2 linked regions of the Caenorhabditis elegans genome follow. The protein of the gene in region 1 purifies or fractionates together with the protein of each later gene. This does not show direct contact. Each region holds a gene or a part of one and is shown on either strand. Other genes may lie near its edges.

What was found.
Region 2: the proteins of wsp-1 (region 1) and nck-1 purify together in Caenorhabditis elegans (affinity purification with western blotting, with the first as the bait; one study listed by BioGRID). This does not show direct contact.

The regions. Positions count from the first base shown.
Region 1 is NC_003282.8:8,186,818-8,195,930, forward strand, and holds wsp-1 (CRIB domain-containing protein), read right to left. Parts: upstream 6,379-9,113; 5' UTR 6,336-6,378; coding exon 5,276-6,335; intron 4,701-5,275; coding exon 4,554-4,700; intron 4,317-4,553; coding exon 4,208-4,316; intron 4,160-4,207; coding exon 3,890-4,159; intron 3,437-3,889; coding exon 3,241-3,436; intron 3,193-3,240; coding exon 2,929-3,192; intron 2,884-2,928; coding exon 2,761-2,883; intron 2,706-2,760; coding exon 2,529-2,705; 3' UTR 2,087-2,528; downstream 1-2,086. Other genes in the region: pct-1 (Cyclin-dependent kinase 17), read left to right, coding at 250-381, 473-885, 1,180-1,408, 1,460-1,618.
Region 2 is NC_003284.9:4,146,499-4,156,076, forward strand, and holds nck-1 (NCK (Non-Catalytic region of tyrosine Kinase) adaptor protein family), read right to left. Parts: upstream 6,946-9,578; 5' UTR 6,922-6,945; coding exon 6,805-6,921; intron 6,177-6,804; coding exon 6,045-6,176; intron 4,260-6,044; coding exon 4,182-4,259; intron 4,125-4,181; coding exon 3,810-4,124; intron 3,769-3,809; coding exon 3,598-3,768; intron 3,529-3,597; coding exon 3,343-3,528; intron 2,763-3,342; coding exon 2,568-2,762; 3' UTR 2,155-2,567; downstream 1-2,154. Other genes in the region: ZK470.2 (Growth-regulating factor), read left to right, coding at 1-61, 263-520, 620-724.

The sequences.
Region 1 (9,113 bases):
GAAATTAATTTCCACTATGACATCAAGCTTCCGCTTTCGGTTTTATTACTTGTATACCAATTTTTATGTCCAACACAAATAATTTTCCAGAAATAGGAATTTTAGCTTCTTTTTCAAAAGAAAAAAGTGTTAAAAAACGTAATTTAATGTTTTCGTTCTTATAAATAAAATAAAAAACAAAAAATAAAGTCAGTTTCATTATATTTCTCAAAATTTTAAAAATTATCATTTACAAAACACATTTTTCAGGAAATACGTTTGGAACAAGAGGAGGGAGCACCATGCACAGCGATTCGCGAAGTTTCGTTATTAAGGAATCTTCGACACGCGAATGTTGTTACTTTACATGATATCATTCATACGGATCGGTTATTAACATTGGTATGTTATTTATTTTTAGAATAAAGAAAATGAAAGAATCTGAAAAAGATTCCCGATTATTTATTTTCGATTCATAAATTTAATTTTGAAGGTATTCGAGTACGTGGATCGTGATCTGAAGCAATATATGGATTCATGTAACAATGCAATGCAAATGAATAATATTCGACTCTTCCTTTACCAACTTCTTCGAGGACTCGCCTACTGTCATCAACGAAGAGTTCTTCATAGAGATTTGAAACCTCAAAACTTGTTGATTACTGCAAAAGGAGAGCTTAAACTTGCGGATTTCGGACTGGCACGTGCCAAGTCCGTACCGACAAAGACGTATTCAAATGAGGTTGTCACATTATGGTATAGGCCACCAGATGTTCTTCTTGGTTCCACTGATTATTCGACACATATTGATATGTGGGGTGTTGGGTGTATATTGTTTGAGATGATTGCTGGAAGAGCTCTTTTCCCAGGTGGTACACCAACAGAGCAACTTGGACTCATTTTTAGGTGAGTATTAATTTTTTGCATCCAGTTTCATCTTTTTCGTTTAAAATCTTCAAATTTTTAGTTTCTGAAGATGTTTAAAAACTTCAAACTATTACGTAGATGTCTAAAATTGAAATTTTTGTCATATCTTACCCGCGTGGGTCTCACACAATGACAACGGGTTACGGTAACTCATGTCGATATGGGCCTATATTGCACTATAATTTCCGAATTAAATGAAAAATTGCTGCCAAGATTTTTTACATTAAAATGTCGAACATTTTAAAAACAAACTCAAAATAAATAAATCTTCAGAACACTTGGATCTCCTCGACCGGATCGACATCCGACAATATGCGAAAAGCCAACATTCTATCCATACGCTAACAGACATTACAATCCAGATCCACTTTGCCGTCAAATTCCACGGATTGATGCTCACGGATTCGAATTGCTCATGAAATTCTTACAGTACGAAGGAAAAGATCGAGTGTCGGCTGCTGAAGCTGTGAAGCATCCGTTCTTGAGGACGATCGCTGTGAAGGTAAATATCAGTTCTAGATCGGAAGTTTATTGAAAATTCAACAAATTTCAGTGTTGCCACCTGCGAGATGAGCAATCTGTCCTAGAAGCTGATGGTATTCACATTGAAAGGGAACTTCTGGCATCAGATCATCATCACAGCTCTCGTCGTCATCATCGTGGAACTCTTGTAAAAGATAAATATCGAATGCATTCGAGTCATCACACTTAGAAATAATTTTCTCAACAAAAAAAAACATATTTAGAATTAAATTTGTTTCTTTTTTCCCCATTTCATCTCAGATTGTGTTGCACTTTTACGGGTTCTTGTCAACCAATTCCGATTCGTTTCCTCCCAACCAAAATGTCCTTCCAATGCGGTCACTTATAGATCAAGATGTTTATGAAACATGTTTCCTAATAATTTATTGTGTAATATTTTCTCTTCATATCCCGAGACTCCATCATTCTTCTTAGAATTTTTCCCGTTGTTTCCCGTAACCAGTAATAGCGATTTTCAAATTTACATTTTCTGTTCATAAATCACACAAAAATCTACAAAAAATCATCTCATAATCTCAATTTGTTCCCAAAAAGCACACAGAACCATTTTTTTTGCTATTTATTTTAGCCGTTATTCTTATTGTACACCTGTGAATAAACAAGCTCTACCCGGAAAGCTTCTACTTCTCATCGAATTGGAAACAAAAATTATTTATGTGGATACCCAGAAAAATGATAATATGCAAAAAAATTATGAGCGTTTCTGCTGTAAGTCTAAAAAGGGACAATGGTTTTGGATGAGAGGGGAGCATCACAGAAAAATCTACGGGAGAAAAACAAGAAGACTGGTTGAGTTTTAAAAGTTTGTTGGTATTTCGGGTGTGTGGAAGGGGGCTTACGAAGAGAAATTCACACGGAATAGGCACTGATTTGGAGAAAAAAAAAAACTAAATGCACAAGTTTTACAAATTCGTCACTTTCAAAATGTATGATAATTTATCTTGGAAATTGACGATTCTGTAATTTTTCAAATCAAGAATTGTACTTGAGGGACTAAAATTACCCTGTTTCACACGGGATTTGCACAGAAAAAGGAAACGAAAAATGGAAGGAAAACAAGTTTAATGAGATAATTTAGTCTAATCTGACCATTCATTTTTGTCATCTTCATCGTCATCATCATCACTAGTATCATCTATTCCCATATTCATTCGACGTTCCTCAAGAGCCTTTGCTAGTGCTCCAGCCAATCCTCCCATTCCAGCGGCTCCAGAAGTCGTACTCTTTCGACGTTCTTGCTCAGCAGCTGCATCCACCTAAAGTTTAAAAAAATTGGAATCAATAGTAATTTTCGGTTAAAAATTGTCTTACATGTTTTAATTGTGCTCCTTGTCGAATTTGGGCCATCACATCTCCACGAGCATCACCACCAGCCGATTTTGGTGAATCTGCAGTTTGTTGAACGGATCGAAGTTGTTTTCCAGCTTGGATTTCCTGAATACAAAATTCAATAGTGAACATTTTTAAAAGTATACTAACCGCTAGCAAATTCGATCTTCCATCCTGAGCAGGTGGTAGTTTTGCGAGCACCGATGCAGGTCCTCCGGCTCCTGAAGGTGGTGGTGGAGGTGGAGGGGGTGGAGCTCCTGCTCCTACTGCTGGCAATCCCATCGGTGGTGGAGGAGGTGGTGGTGGAGGAGCTGCGGATGATATCGGAGCCATTCCAAATGATTGTGGTGGTGGAGGGGGTGGAGGTGGTGGAACCGCATGTGGTCGATTCTCTGGGGTTCCATAGTTGGGCGCCTGAATATAAATTAATTTTTTTCAGAAAATCACTCTCCGGTTACTTACTTGAGGTAAAGGTCTTGATGGTGCAATTCCACGGGTACCAGATGACGGTGGTGGAGGAGGTGGACGAGCTGGAGCCAATCCATGAGATTCGACACGTGTTGGAGGTGGAGGAGCGGCAGGTGTGGAATATGATGAAGCACCGCTTCCAATCGGAGCAGATGATGGGAATGATGGTTTGTATTGACGCACTGGTGTTCTGAAAATTTTTTTTTCATTTAAAAATAAAACTTTTTTGTTATCGTATTTCTAATATGGCTGAAATACGCCCTCACCAAATGCAACACTAATTTCATTTCTAATATTTCTAGTATTTATATTAAATATTTCATAATATTTCTGGTTCTCAGCTACAAAAAACAGTAGTCGTAAAATATATTCAAGGGTTAACTGTAACAGAAACATATTACTTTTAACTTTTTTTGTAAGTTTGCGGAAAAAAAACTACATCGAAAGCATTTCGGGGGAGAATAATTGGGATTGCGTTGCCATTACTCTTTTTCATGGTCCGACATCTACCGGGTTTCGACTCACACAGCGCATATGCATGTATCTTCACAGGGGCGAAACCCAGTAGATGTCGGACCATAATTAAATTTATTTTTTCTGGTTTGGAGTTATTTTTTTCCGAAATGAAAACAAAAAAACTAACTGATTCCATGACTGATTCATCTGTGGATGTTGCTGAATTGGTGGTGGAAGAGGTGATGAGATTTGTGATGGATCCAAACTTCCAACAGATACATATTTATCATAGTTCTTGGCAATGAATTTTTTCACGAATTTCTTATCATCCTCATTCAGATTATTGCTTTCCAATCCAGCAGCCTTTAGAATATTTTTAGTAGCTTCATCCATATCATCGTCGTAAACTGTATTCGAGAATCCACTATCCTGATTCCATCCAACATGAGCTTTATGTCTGAAATATTTAGTTTAATTTAAACCATTAAAACGGAATAAATCTCACTGAAAGTTTGTTGGATTAGAAATATCCTCTTTCTTAATTTTCGATTTTTTATCCTTCTTTTTGTTTTTATCTTTCCGGAACCATGATCCACTACTGCTAGCATTTCCATCTGTAAATATTGAAAATATTTAATTAAAATTAATGTTATTTTTTGAAGAGATTTCTCACCAAATTTATGTAACAATCTTTTCAATTTATTAATCATTAAAATATGAGCAAATTTTGCAAAGTATGCATAAGAAATGAGATATAAAATGTGATTTTTTTTAAGTTTACGTAATTTTATTCAGAAATTCAATTACTGACTACGAGAACATCATTTTTCAATTTCCAAAAAAATATTCACCTGTATGTGTATGTGATTGTGGTGCAGCAGCCATAGTTCCCATTTGTGTTATCCCTTGACCTCCGCCAATTGCCATTGGAGGTCCTCGAATTGTTCCTCCATAAGCCTGTGTGATTTCGAATTGTCGTGTTGGAGTGGATCCGATTCCTGAAATAATAAATTATTAAATATAGAAGTTCTCACTGTCAAGTGCTCTGTTCTTTTTCATTTCAATTCGATCACCCAATCAGTTAAAAATCATCTTTCTCTATTCTCCAGCATTTCTGCTCAACAATGATGTTCATGTGCTCTGAGCGCTTGAAGCCGATCAAGTACTCGGTCGGCGGTGCTCATAACATGACATGAACACAAATAATCGGTCCGAATTTCTCGCCATCCTGGGTTGGATGTTTGCTTTCCAAATTTGTGTGAAAAACTCTTATAGAACCAGATTCTGTCTATCAAATTGATCAACTCAAAGAAAAAACGATAATATGGAAAGATAGTGATCAAGTAAACAAAAATATTATGATAAAGTGCAAATACACATCATGAGTTCAACTTGTTGACACTTCCTATACTTTTAGAAGTTTCGAAAAACTAAATTCGTTTTTAAATTTTCAAGCTTCACAAGCTGTGTAATTTTTGGGAGATTTTAAAAGGTTTTAGAAACTATTGTAGAAGAGTAAAAATGATGAGGTGAAGATTCAGACATCAGAATATTTAAAGTCTGTAAAACAAACCATTAAGCGAAATTGATGTCGAACTAGAACTTTTCTTCACTAATCGATGCCTTGCAGGTGGATGAGATGGAATTGGTGGTGGAGTATCTGCTTCTACAGATGATGGTGTTGCACTGCTACTCTCTGTACTACTATCACTTCCTCCAGAACAGTAGATAGGTTCTTCTTTCTTTGTGACCATAACAGATACTTGACCATTTGATCGATGAACTAATACGGAATCAGAATGAGGTGCAGGATCAGGATTCATCGATACTGATTCATAATCGTCGTCTTCGTCACCGAAGTCATCCGTATTGAATACGTGTCGAGAACTCACATAGTCACCACGAGATACTGGTTCTTCTGGGATATGAAATCGTACCTTATTTCGAGAAAGTGGGGGTGAATAGTCTGGATCAGGACTCGGAGCTCTATGTCGACGAGGTTCTTGATGATGATGTGATGATCGATGACGAGGTCGGAATGCTAGCTGCTGTTGTTGCTGCTGATGATGTTGCTGTTGTAGTTGCTTTTGTTGATTGTGATAGTAATAGAATGCATCAGCAGATATTGGAACATAACATCTTGCATAGTTCTGACGCCTTGCATATGTACCTGTGGATCCTCCATACCTTGTTGAATATACTGGATCTTGGTATTCTGCAGATGAGCTTGTTGAGCTTGACGTGGAATCAGGACCTCCATAAGTCGAATAATCATTTACATTGTCATATTGTTCCATTTCATAATATCCTCCATTTGGTAGAGTATGACTCCGATGGGTAGTACGAGGTGAGGATCCCATAGAATCAGGGAAGCTAGAGCATCCTCCACGTGCAAAACGTTGCATATGGTTATGGTGAAGATGACCGCCAGTACCGGAAGAGGAAGTGGAGGATGGAAAGGACGAATAAATTTGAGCCGCCGACGAAACGGTTGACGGTTTATTGGACGACGGATTGGTTGTCGCAGACGGTGGCGGAGGGTGGGAAGGAGGAGGAAACGATTGAGCGACCGGCAGGTTGTGGTACTGATAGCGGAGGCGGCCGGCCGGATCCTCGCTTACCACCATCCACATGTTATTATTCTTCGAATGGCTACTACTTCTGATACTTCTGAAAGAAGGCGAAAAAGATCGTCGCAAATTATGGAGATGAAAGCGAGAGAAAAAAGAGTATATGGGAAATGTCGAAAGGTGACGTTTATGGAATCGAAAGCTGTGAGAATCGGAATTTTCAGGTCATAAAATGAAGGAATGGAACAAATTCACTTGAGATATCCGAGTGATGTGTGAAACAATTGAAAGGAGAGATGTATATAAGGGTTCCAAATTATACCTCTAGTTGACTTCGAAAATGGGCATTCCAAAAAATGTTGCATATTTACGCAAGCATAATTTGTAACATCCTATTCTTCAAAAAATCTTGCTGAAGTCTGATGAAAAGTGAATTTGGAAAAAAAAACGTTTGCATTTCTAAATCTTTTAAATTGCCATGACTTTCTGATTGGCGTACAAGCACTTAGTGATTCGAACGGATATTCAGAGAATCATAGAAACAGAACGAAATGAAAACCGTCATAATACACATCATTATTGTATACCGTTTCGCCTCTTCACACCGTTCGGCTTCTCTCCCTCTAATTTTCTCTCTCGCCCAATCGTTTCGATTCGGAATCAAATTACACAACACACTACCACAGTTTGGCGGCAGTGAGATGTGCATATTGACAGAGGAAACAGATGTAAATATTAATTGAATTCCTAACAACTATCTATTTCTATTCAAAAAATGATATTTTTTACATATTCCAAAAATTTTCCATGTAAGAAATGAATAGTAAAAGTGACCGAAATGATGGGGCGAAAACTGTGGGGAGGTGAACTGAAGCACTTCTCTTCTCACGAGAGTTAGGCGGAGTCAACACCGATGAGTATGTGTATGTGTGTATGTGCTGCCCTGAACCTCTAACGGAGAGAGTCTCAATATAGTTAAACATTAAAAAACTGAGAAATAATAAGATAATGTTTCTATTAGTTTGTGACTTAGGTGTCAATGTGTGGCTACCAGAAATACTTTGTAAGAAGTATCGTAATTTTTTTCTTGAGTTTACAGTACTTTTATAGTAAACGAGACACCGTTCTTAAGGGTGATCCTTCAAATTTAAAACAGCGGTAAGACTGAAAAAACTAAGATTTTACTTTTTTGTTTGAAAGCGTGTACTTCAACACAAAAATTATTCAATCATCGTTTGACTACTGTCACACCCGCTAACAACAACACGTAGGAACAGCTACACCTCTAGACGTCAATAATGACATTCGGAAAACGGAAGGAACAGCCAGTTTCACTTATTATTAAATAATTTCTACACTTTTTTCACATCTGCTTGTGTTCTGTTAACAGATTTTAAAGATATACTATGTTTCAAAAATAACCTGCGCCAAATACAAAACTATATACGAAAACCTAATTATAACTTCCTCTCAAGTGTCGACTTCTCAAAAATTAATGCATGAACATAATACAACCGCATAGGATTGCTGCAGAAGAAGAGATGGAGACTTGAAGCACTATTGTAAAAAAGAGAAGAAAATAAAAAGTATGAAAACCTTATAATTGAACCAGTGCTCGTTCTTTGTTCAGATTGAACATTGTAGAGCACAAGGCACGGGTAAGATCACGTAGATCTCCATTGAATCCTGTACTCGTCTTGTCCTACTCCTTGCTCTTTCAAGTGGCCCGCTTTTCACATGCGTCGATTGAAAGTGGCTCATGCTTTAGAGGAACACAAAACTGAGATTCATGATAGGTCAGAACAAATTTCTATTTTTTCAAATAGAATTTTATAGATTGTAAGCAATATAACTTCGAATCAAGTGACACATAATGACATATCGTATTGTAAGTTAGGAATACAGTAGACTACAGTAAGACCATTCCGAGATATCAGGTACGTTTTAATAAGTTTCAATTTCAACTTTTTTTTCCGATTATCTATTATAGTAAATGACAATTTGTATTAATTTCAATGGATTGGTCATTTCAAAAAATTACCGCTCCAGAATAATAGAATAGAATAATACGATCGAGATCAAAAATAAGACCAACAAACGTCGAACAATTTTCGAAGAAACCAAAAGTTGAAAAATTGGAAAAGTTGAATAAAAGTCGATAAATATGCCAATAGACTGTGATATGTAATCTTCTTTTCCACTCTCTCAATCTTTTGCCCTCAAAGCCATTCGTCCAAGAAAACAAACAAAAAGTCTTTTGAGCAGCTTGTCTTTTCGCTTTCACCTGTGTCCCGCCTTTCGTCTGCCAACCTTTTTTACACGAAACTCATCAGGTCGGATTAAGAGGGCGGCTTACCCGATGTTGGTGTTGAAAAGTGGTGGAAGCAAGATTCTCGGACGAAGGGACAGTAAATGAGGGAGAGAGAGGTCAAAGAGACAAGGTCAAACTAGGTATTCAACAACTTTTAGGACAACAACATAAGACGAACATTTAAATGAGGACGCTTTTTGAGTGACTGTGTGTTCAGAGGATGAACACCCTGAATTATGGTTCGAAACTCAAACTTTTTCTCCCGAATATGGTGTACACAGGGGGTAGGCGATAAGAATGTCTCGAGTTGTCAAGGTTGAAACTTTTGGCGCTTACTGTTCAAAAAGTTCAAAACACAAAAGTACAATTTAGAACGAAAAAAAGCCTCCAGAGCATAAAATTTTTTTAAAAATATATGTTTCCATCAAGATGAGCAAAATTTGATGAAACTCAGAAATTGTTTGTAAATTTCTAAACTTTTATTTTTTCGATTTTTGGAAAAACCGAAATATTTTGACGAAACCATTGAT
Region 2 (9,578 bases), on another chromosome or scaffold:
GTCCTCATCGGCCATTGACTGGAACGGCGCCGTCGTCGAAGCTACTCGCAAAACTTCTAGGGTTCGCGAATTTCACCATGACACATTTCAGTTTGACTAGCAACAGCCCTAATAGGGGACTGCTGTCCAAAACTTGAGTGATAAGTACGTACTTTCTGAAAATACTTTTGCATTGACCTTGTTGCAATGTTAGACCAAAAAAAAGTTGAACTTAAAAAGACTGACTGTGAAACGAAATTAACATTAATCCTTCATTTTTCAGCAATTCGACTGGCAAACCGCTTTGTTCGACAACAGCCGCAAGACCAGCTTCTCGAACCTCCAACCATTTTCGCAAGCACAACAGGGCGGCTTGGTTATGAGCAATCTGGATAATAAGCAACAAGGAATGTCCGTCGCTACTGCAACCATGCCACAACAGCAGAATAATTTTGCTCAAACCCTTTCTCAATCGTCAAGCACTGCTTCTGCTCCAGCACCAACAAGTGCGCCAGTCACAACTCCAGCTCCAGGATCAAGGGTTAGTAGTTTTGAAATTACAAAAAAATTTATGGCAACTTGGAAACTAAAAACTGGAAGCGTGTTTATGTTTCTAATATTCAAATTTCTAATATTTCAGGGAGCTGCCTTGTTCGGAGGAGTCTTCCACCGTGGATTCTTCTCGAAGCCAGTCGAGCGCACCGAAGAGGAAAACTACCGTTACTTGATGGCTCTTGATCGTTAGAAGATTCACCTATTGGATCTTTACTCTCTGCCACTTGCATCACACAAAAATCATTTTCTTCCATGTTAACCTTCCTTGTCTTATTGCCCCCCCCCCCCCCCCCCCCGCCTACTATTTTCAAAATTTCCTTCCCTTAACTTTAACTCGACCCTACCCAGATCTCCTGAGAGGGCAAAAAGAATGAGACATTACTAATGATCACTGTTCCCAATCGTCCATCCTGCATACCTAACCAGACCATCTTACCATGTGTCTCAGGTCACACCGTTGCCGTTTTGCGTTCCCCATATTGCTACTGACTTACGAGTGTGAAGAGACCCATTGGTAAAAGAGGAAATCTCTGTTTTTTTTTCTTTTTTTCTTTGTTTTGAAATATTCGTTACCCACTGTTTTAGGACGAATCCCATTTTTTTCGATTTTCCTCTTTGTGATGCTATCCACTTTAGGATAACCCGAATTATTATTACTTCGCACGGGTCTGGGGGTAGCACCAGGTATTCTTCACCTGTCATATGTATAATCCAACCGCACACCAATCACCTCATCTGCTCTTTTTATGTCTCCTTCATGTTTTGATTCTCCAATTTGAAACCAAAATAATACATATTTTATTCCCCGAACACATGCAAACTTGTCAGACATGTTCAATGTAGAAAGTGTCAGAAAATGATCAACAGCCTTTAATGACGGAGAAAACGTTGATACAAACACACGCGTAGTTACTTTTTGCCTTATGTTATAAAAAAGAAAATCTCAATTTGAGAATATTCTAAAAAAAATGTTCAGTTAGAGATAATACCAATACTTGAATTTTGAGTTAAAACTGTCGAATTGCCATATTTGCCGAACATCTAAAAAACGCTACCAACTATAAATATAAAACATTATAAAATTAATAATATAAACAATAAAACTACCACCTATTAATTTTCAATTTTTTTTGCCGATTAACAAATTAGCTTGTTTGCAAATTTACAAGTTTGCTACCACAAAATAATTTGAGATGAATTGCCAGTTTACAATTAAAACCACAATCAAATAAAAGTTATTAACCTTGTTTTCAAAAATTTAAACCGCTAGAAAAATGTTGGTAAATTTGTTTAAAAGTTTTATTTCAAAATGTGTTAATTAAAATTTTGGCAAATTTAAGAAATGTAAAGCATTTCCACAGTTTCAGACCGCTACAAAGTAAAAAATTGTTAAAAGCTTTTTTGGTCAATTTTTTAAATTATAATTGGCAAAAAAACTCCAATTTTGAATTTATGATAAATTTAAAATTTTAACAACAAAAATGTGAAGAATTTCGGATACTCTAAAAAATATTTATAAAAACCTTCAATAATGTCATGTTTCATTTCACATCCGGAAATCGCGTTGTACAAAAATTGAAACCTGAAAAATTGTAACAATTAAAAAAATCTGAAATATGCCCACTTGAAAATTCATTTACAGTTATCACATATGGCAATTGGAATTGAAAATAATATTCTGAAACAACGCAGCGTTGTGAAGTGGAGCAAAAGACAATTGAAGAAGAGATGAATGGAAAGTGTGAGTTAAGGACAATTATTTGATAAAATTACAAACTTGAATGAAAAGAAAAAGAACCAAAGAAAAAATGAGAAATATATCTGAAACCGTGATCAACCGTTCAATTTATCAAAAACGGCGGATGGCAAATCAGTAAACATATCTAAACACAGGGCTAGTGATAGAAATGACGAAAGAGATTTTCACTTGCTTTGTCCAGAAAAAAAATGGATTGCTGCAAAGAAGACAAGAAAACAACAATTGTTAAGAATGAGCTTATAAGAATATTGCATTGAAATTTTGAACAAGTAGTTTACTTGGGAAGAGGACCGGTCAAAAACAGCTTCTCCGTTGGCGACGAGAAAATTGGGCTGGTTGTGTAGTGATTGATAAGAGCATTCATGTCCACAAACGTTCGGTTTCCAATTTTCAGGAGACCATCCACGTTTTGCACTTTGAAATGCTTGTTGCGTTCGATTCCGCGCATTGAGATCGACAAGTCTCCAGGCTGAAAAAAATTGAATTTAATATTAAATGGTTGAAAATATCCATTTTTGGTATTGTCTTCCTAGCAATATTCAAATGGGATACTGTCAATGAAGATTGATTTTAATTTAGATTGTATTCTGATCAGAATGAAAGCGTATTAACTGTAATATATAGTTTGGAGTGAAAATGTTCAAATCAAACGCTAGAACGTTTTTTTTTCCTTTGCGGTCCTTGATTTTGGTAATTAATTTCGTAGTATCTCGGTCATTTGCTGCCATTTTTAAACTAATTGTAGCCTCTTGCCAGCCTTCATTCTTTTGGATTTTTTTTGCACTAAGTTTAAAATAAAACTAAATTTAACAACTTCTTAAACAACTTGAATCTCCTTATTCGTCGATTTTAGTTTTAAAACCAATATTAGCAACTTTGTGACTATACTTCACCAACTTTGGCAACTGTTTGAACAACTTTAGTATCCCACAACTTCTCAACCAACTTTTGCAACTTCTGAAATTGGCATTTCTAAAGTTGCTAGGAATGGTTGAAAGCTTGCGACTATTTGGAAAGACACCGTTTGAAAAATTCCAAAAAATGCTCACATTGCTCTCCGAATCTCTGACCAGAAACTCTCCCTCACGACCATGTAGTAGAAGATCTTCAGCACGTTCCCTCGAGATGCGTCCAAAATACCACGGCTGTTGCTCCATCGGAATTTCTCCGTTTCCTGAATATTGCGGTGCGAAATCTTGATGTGAAGCTTTGCTGGATGATGAGTCGTTGACCACCTGAAATGTTCTAATTGTTTCAGATTCGGGCAATTTTTCTCGGAATTTTTAGGCGATTAAATGCACTACCTCAATGTAATTTCTTGGCACAAGCCCTGTGGTTCCACTGGCGTTGCGCGCCATCCACCAATCGGGGTCATGTTCTGGATGATCCACGATTTCGAGCCGTTCTCCTTTTTTGAACGATAGTTCTTCAGATGATGATGCGTCGAACGAGTACAATGCAACGACGACCTGAATCTATGAAAATGATTATTAAATTGCATTGGGGTAAATCCTACTTCAAATGAAGACCGTGACGCCTGGAGCTTCGGCGGTGGTGCTTGCATCATTATGGGCGCTGGAACTGCTGCAGCTGCTGGGTTTCGGTTCTCAATGCTTCCCTGATTTCCGTTTGTCGAAGCTTCAACTTCCTCCACATAGTTTGACGGGAACCATCCGACTCCTCCATTCGGTGCTTCTCCCTTCCACCACCCATCTGTGCTTTTCTCGACGACATAAACGAAATCTCCTTTTGTGAGACCGAGCTCATCTTCAAGTCTTGGCTCGTAAGTGAATTTCACCACAGCTTTCGTTTTCGAGCTCATCATAGGAATCTGAAGAAAAAAACGTTGGCGGATTAAAATAAGTTATGATTGAAAAGCCTGTCAAACCTTATTGGATGATGGTGTCACCGCACAGTTGTTATTCAAGCTGAACGCTAGACGCGCGATGCCGTTTAATCGCTCCTCCTGAAAAATCAATTTCAACAACAAAAAAAGTACTAAAATTAGAGATTTTCGCTTAAATTGAGCTTTTTTTCAAAATTTTGAAGCGCCATAGAAATTTTAAAACCATTTTTCTCATTACGAAATTTGTTCATCTGGAGTCTAAAAAATTTCAATTTTCCAAAATTTCCAAAAAAATAAAATTTTCACTTTAAATAAATTGACTTTATAAAAAATGTAGAGTTCTAACACAAAAGAAATAGTGTATCGTTATGTGAAATCTCTTTTTTTTTTGGCTTACATTAGAAAATATACTATCCTAATCAAAAAGCCTCAAAATTCAAAAATAAAATTTTCACTTCAAATAAATTTATTTAAAAAAAATGTAGGGCTCTAACACAAGTATTAAGTTCGGCAAGTTAGAGGGACGACGCAGATGTTTATTGCAAGGAGGTCTTATGGCACGAGAAAAATCGATAAGGAAGTGCTCTTCCCGCCTAGAAAGCTCACAGTTTAATTAGAAACGTGATCTTAAACGGCGAAAAAAAAAACAAATTTGATGAAGCCGGAAATTCCAAGTTTTTTTTTGGAGGCGCTACGTGGCCAGTAGCAGCAGCACAGACTCAACCCGCTACCTTCAGTCAGAAATGCAAACAAAGTGAGCGGTTGAGCTCGTAGGCAATGTGCATGCAGCGCCCCACACATCGAAACACGATTTTGGTTAGGGGGTGAAGAGCGGGAGGGGCCCTCAGGCGATTGAAACGTATCGTCAAGACGGAAAAACATAGGAAGCGTTGAAATTTCGCGCGCTCTTGTATACCGAGACTGTCTCATTTGCGCCGAATACATTGTCGCGGGAGAGCCGTATGTATGTGTGTGTGTGTGATAACAGGGCAATGATAGTATGCGCCGCTTGCACACACATGCAAATATTAACGGTTTCGGTCATTTATTACGGAGTTTTTGCCTCACAAAGTTCAGCATATTTCGATTCGAAAATATGATTCGAAAAATTGAGCGTGCCGTTTTGATATTGAGAAGAAGAAAAGCAAAAAAAGTATTTTATGTGGAGGAAGGAAAACGCAAAAAACAGACGAACCTGTCAAAACGGCGAGGAGAACGGGAGAACGCGCGGCGAGGTCTTTTTGGACGGTCTCGAGCAATCAATAATCCTGGGAAAACAGGGGAAGAAGAGTTTGTTAGTTCAGACGATGCGCAGTATCTTACGCGCAAAACACTCAATTAGTTATTGTGGTGATGACAAAATCATTTTTTACTAGAATTTGGGCTATTATATCAATTTTTAATGGAAGCTACAATATTTAAAATAATTAACTTTAAATTTGTAAATGCTATTAGTTAGTTTCATAAAAATTGCAATAAAAAAACCGACAACGAGAAATATTCCTGCCCCAATATGACAAATCATTCTAGAAACTTTTATGGCATTACAAACGGAGCAAAAAATCGATTTTGTTTGCTGTATGATAAGGAAACAAAACTGGAATGTTCTGGGAAGAAAGTTAGTATATCAAAACTAGTTTTAATGTACCTTAAAATTAAAAGAAATAAAGTATCTGTTGGCAATTCTAATTAGAAGTTAATTCAAACTGTTGCTTTCGGCTGGAAGCGCTTGTGTAAATACAAATCTTCCACGTGAAGACTGGTTTTGGCATTTGGAAACAAAAAAAAACTGAGAGTGCGACATTACAGTCGATTATGTTTCGTTTAGTTGTGGCGGCAGTTTGGCGCTTTTTTTGGAAGTGAGATGGGTTTTTGTAACAAAAAAAAACAAAACGAAACACTCACCGGCTCCGGATCTGAGGATCGGTTGCGACCTCGCGCTAAGCCCTTGATTGTTCCTTTTGCTTTGTCCACAATTGATTCTTTTCGCACGTAGTTTGAAGGCACAAATCCAACACTGTTTGAATCGTTCATTACCTGAAGAAAACGGTTTTGATCCGAGGGAAAACAACGTTAAGTGGCTCAATTTATTTTTAAAAAAATTAAGGTTTGTAGAACACTTTTTGATTAGTAGTTTTGCTAATTGGTACCAGGATTTTTTTTTGAGATGTGGAGCAATGTCAGTGCAAGCTTTGTTTAAATGTTGCTAAAATGACCAACAATCATAATGAAACTCTTCAGAATTGTTTTTTGAAATATTTTAATGTGCAGTCAATGTGCAAAATATGGTCGACCAAAACGTTGACTGAAAATTTTGAAAAAATTATAAATTTTTCTGGATGTTTAATGAAAAGAGAAAATTGTAAATTTATATATGATGCTAAAATAACCAAATATTATAGAAAACTGTTCAAAAAATTTTGGAACATTTTTATTTCGAGTCAAAAAGTGGTGAGAACTTACTAATATGTAGATTTCCCCAAAAAGTCGTTGATTAAAATAAATTTCTCTTATTTTAATGTTCTAATTATGCTTAAAACATTAAAATTTCAATATAGCAGGGAATTGAACATGCGACAGTGTTTTAGAGTTCTCGAAAAGTGGATCAAACTGTTTTCACATTTAACCATTAGTTTCAGTATGTTTTCCGTCAATAAAAACTCACTTTCCACCAGTTTTTGCTATCATCTAACAGCTTTAACCGTTCGTTCTTTTTTATCGTCAACTCCTGTTCCTCTTGTGCTAAATAATCGTATTTGACGACCACATAGTCCTCCGACATTTCAAATGTCCGATGTAATACACCCTGTAAAGTGGTTTGGTGAGAAAAATTGCGAATCCATAGCAAAAAACCGAGGAGAACAAGTGGGAAAATGAAATGAATAGGGGATGGATACGCAACTCGTAATTGACGTCGTCTATTCTACCTCCTCACTACACCTACACCTGATAAAATCAACATTAGTGAGCGGAAAAAAGAAAAAGAAGGCGCACTGACGACGTACGCCACATTTTTCTAGGATATATCGGTCAATGTCAATCTGTTCAGAAGTCAGTTAGGCTGTTGGATGTTGGTAGGTCAAAGCGTGTCATGAACGGGTTCCGGAAAGTTTTTTTATTGATTCGAAAGTTATGAAAAATATTAAACTTATAGTTAGTATCAAAAATCTTTTTTTTTTCAGATTAGCACACAGCCGTATCAAGTATGACAAAAAAAGAAGAATGAAAAAGGTGAGATGTGAATAATAAGTAGCATAACGCGGGCAGCATTGCCTATTCAATAATACTATTTTATGGAGTTAGCAAACACATGAATATAGTCATAAAAAGTTGGCGAGGTAAGCAGGATTTTGTTAGAAGGCGTCAAGCGAGAAAATAACTGCAGTAGTTGGGCAGATGTACTTATGAGTCAGGATGCCTTTGAATTTTTCAGCAAGACGGGTGCACTTTCGAATGGCTCAATGGGAAAATGGAAATAATTCAGATGCCTGGCTTTGGCATATAATTACTTCCAGCCAAAGTACCAATAGGAAACCCCACATTTCCTCTGAAAGTGCAAAATCAGGTTTCAGGCAAATTTTATTTGCGCCTGTAAGCATTTCCAAATGGGGAAAATCACGCAAATGGGGAAAGTTTTAGTTAGGATTGTAAGGCCTTTATTGAAAATATATTGATACTTCTGGATTTAATGTTACCCCCAAAAGTGCTAAAGTTAAGTTGTTATATATTTTTCAGACCTCTTTTTCCTACAAATCTAGAATAACTTTTTTCAAGCTCTGGAAATATGATGAAAGTTTTAATTTGAAATTAATTTTTTTAGGGTCTCCTACAAACTTATATACTTATATACCGTTTTTAATTTAAATTTTGATTTTTTGATACTTGGTTGAATTATATTATAAAAGAAAATGCCTTATAATATACCTGCTTGTCGAAAAAGAATACCCATCGTAGTTCAATATGGCCTAGAATTTTTAGAATTTTTAAAATTTCAGTCAACACATTAAACTGCCACACTTAGAAAAAGAACAACAGGAGCGTTTGAATACATTTCTTACTGACGAGACTCCAAATTGTATTAAATTCCACAATTAAGTAATTTTAGAAATACAGATTTTCATATTAAAATTTTAATTTTTTGGAATTTTCCTTTTCAAACCAGAAACGTAATTGACTATGCTCCATTTTGCAAAAGAAGAAAAGAAGAAAAAAAGAAACAAAAAGCAGAGGAAAAACAACCGACAATTGTAGGCAACAATTGTTGGAAGAGCCCCATCGTTTTCTTCGTAGCACACACACACACACACACACACACACACACACACATTTTCGGACAGGACAAGAGTCAATGACAAATGATGGGAATTTTCGGTTTTGAATGGGGGCCAACAGGGGCCGAAATAATGCATTGGAATGCGGAGAAAAGAGAGAAAAGATTGAAGACGGATTGCCAAAATAATGTGCGGAAAATTTGCGAATCTGGCTCAAATCTCAGACTGGAACGACGAGATGGTTTGTGGGGGGATAGATGAAGGATTTACTTGGGAATTGAAAATAACAACAAGATGATCCTTTAAGGGACACTTAGCAATCTGGTCATCGGAGAATAAATATCTAGGGGGGCCCCCCGTCACCAACCAGCGCGGGTATTAGCAGCAGCTGAAGACGAAGAAAAGTAGAAGAAGTGGACGGAGGGACACAACAACAATAACAACGTTCAACCATTACCAATTATTCTGTCTTTTCTCTCACTTTCCCTTACTCACTCTATTCACTATTCTGTTCACATGGAAACACAGAGTCTTTTCAATTTACCAGTGAGTATGAATCATGGATGAATAAGATATCAGAAGAATGGGTGTTTGTAATACAAATAGGTGCATGTTGTTAAAAATGAAGTAGGCGCCTGTAGGAAAATTGTTAGAAGCCACTTTTGTGGTTCAAATGATTAAATATCATATAGTAATTTCGCTAAATTTTGACATATTACTTAAAAGGCGCATGCTGTGAATTTAGTGGTAGGTCTCGTTACGATCCACAAGTGCCAAATTTTACAGATTTGTTCATTTCGCGTAAGAAAAATAAAATTCGAAAATCTAAAATGCACAGAAAAAGCCAAACCTTAACGTGGAATATTTAGCACCAACATAGTTTCACATTTTGGCAAACGGACAATAGTATAACTTATCAAAAATTGAAACTATGCCAAATTAAAATTAAAAAAGGTCTTTCCAAAACAACACCAAAAAAAAAACAATCATACAAGTTTTATACTCTAACTAAGTTGTATTTATATATTGCATGAGTTCAAAATTGTGAAATTGCACTAGTTCTTTCAAAAACTGCAAAATTTTGGCAAAATTTGGCAATTTACCAAAACTTTAACGGAAAATTTTATGTTTTTGATTCTGATATTTGACTATTTCAGATTATTTCAAG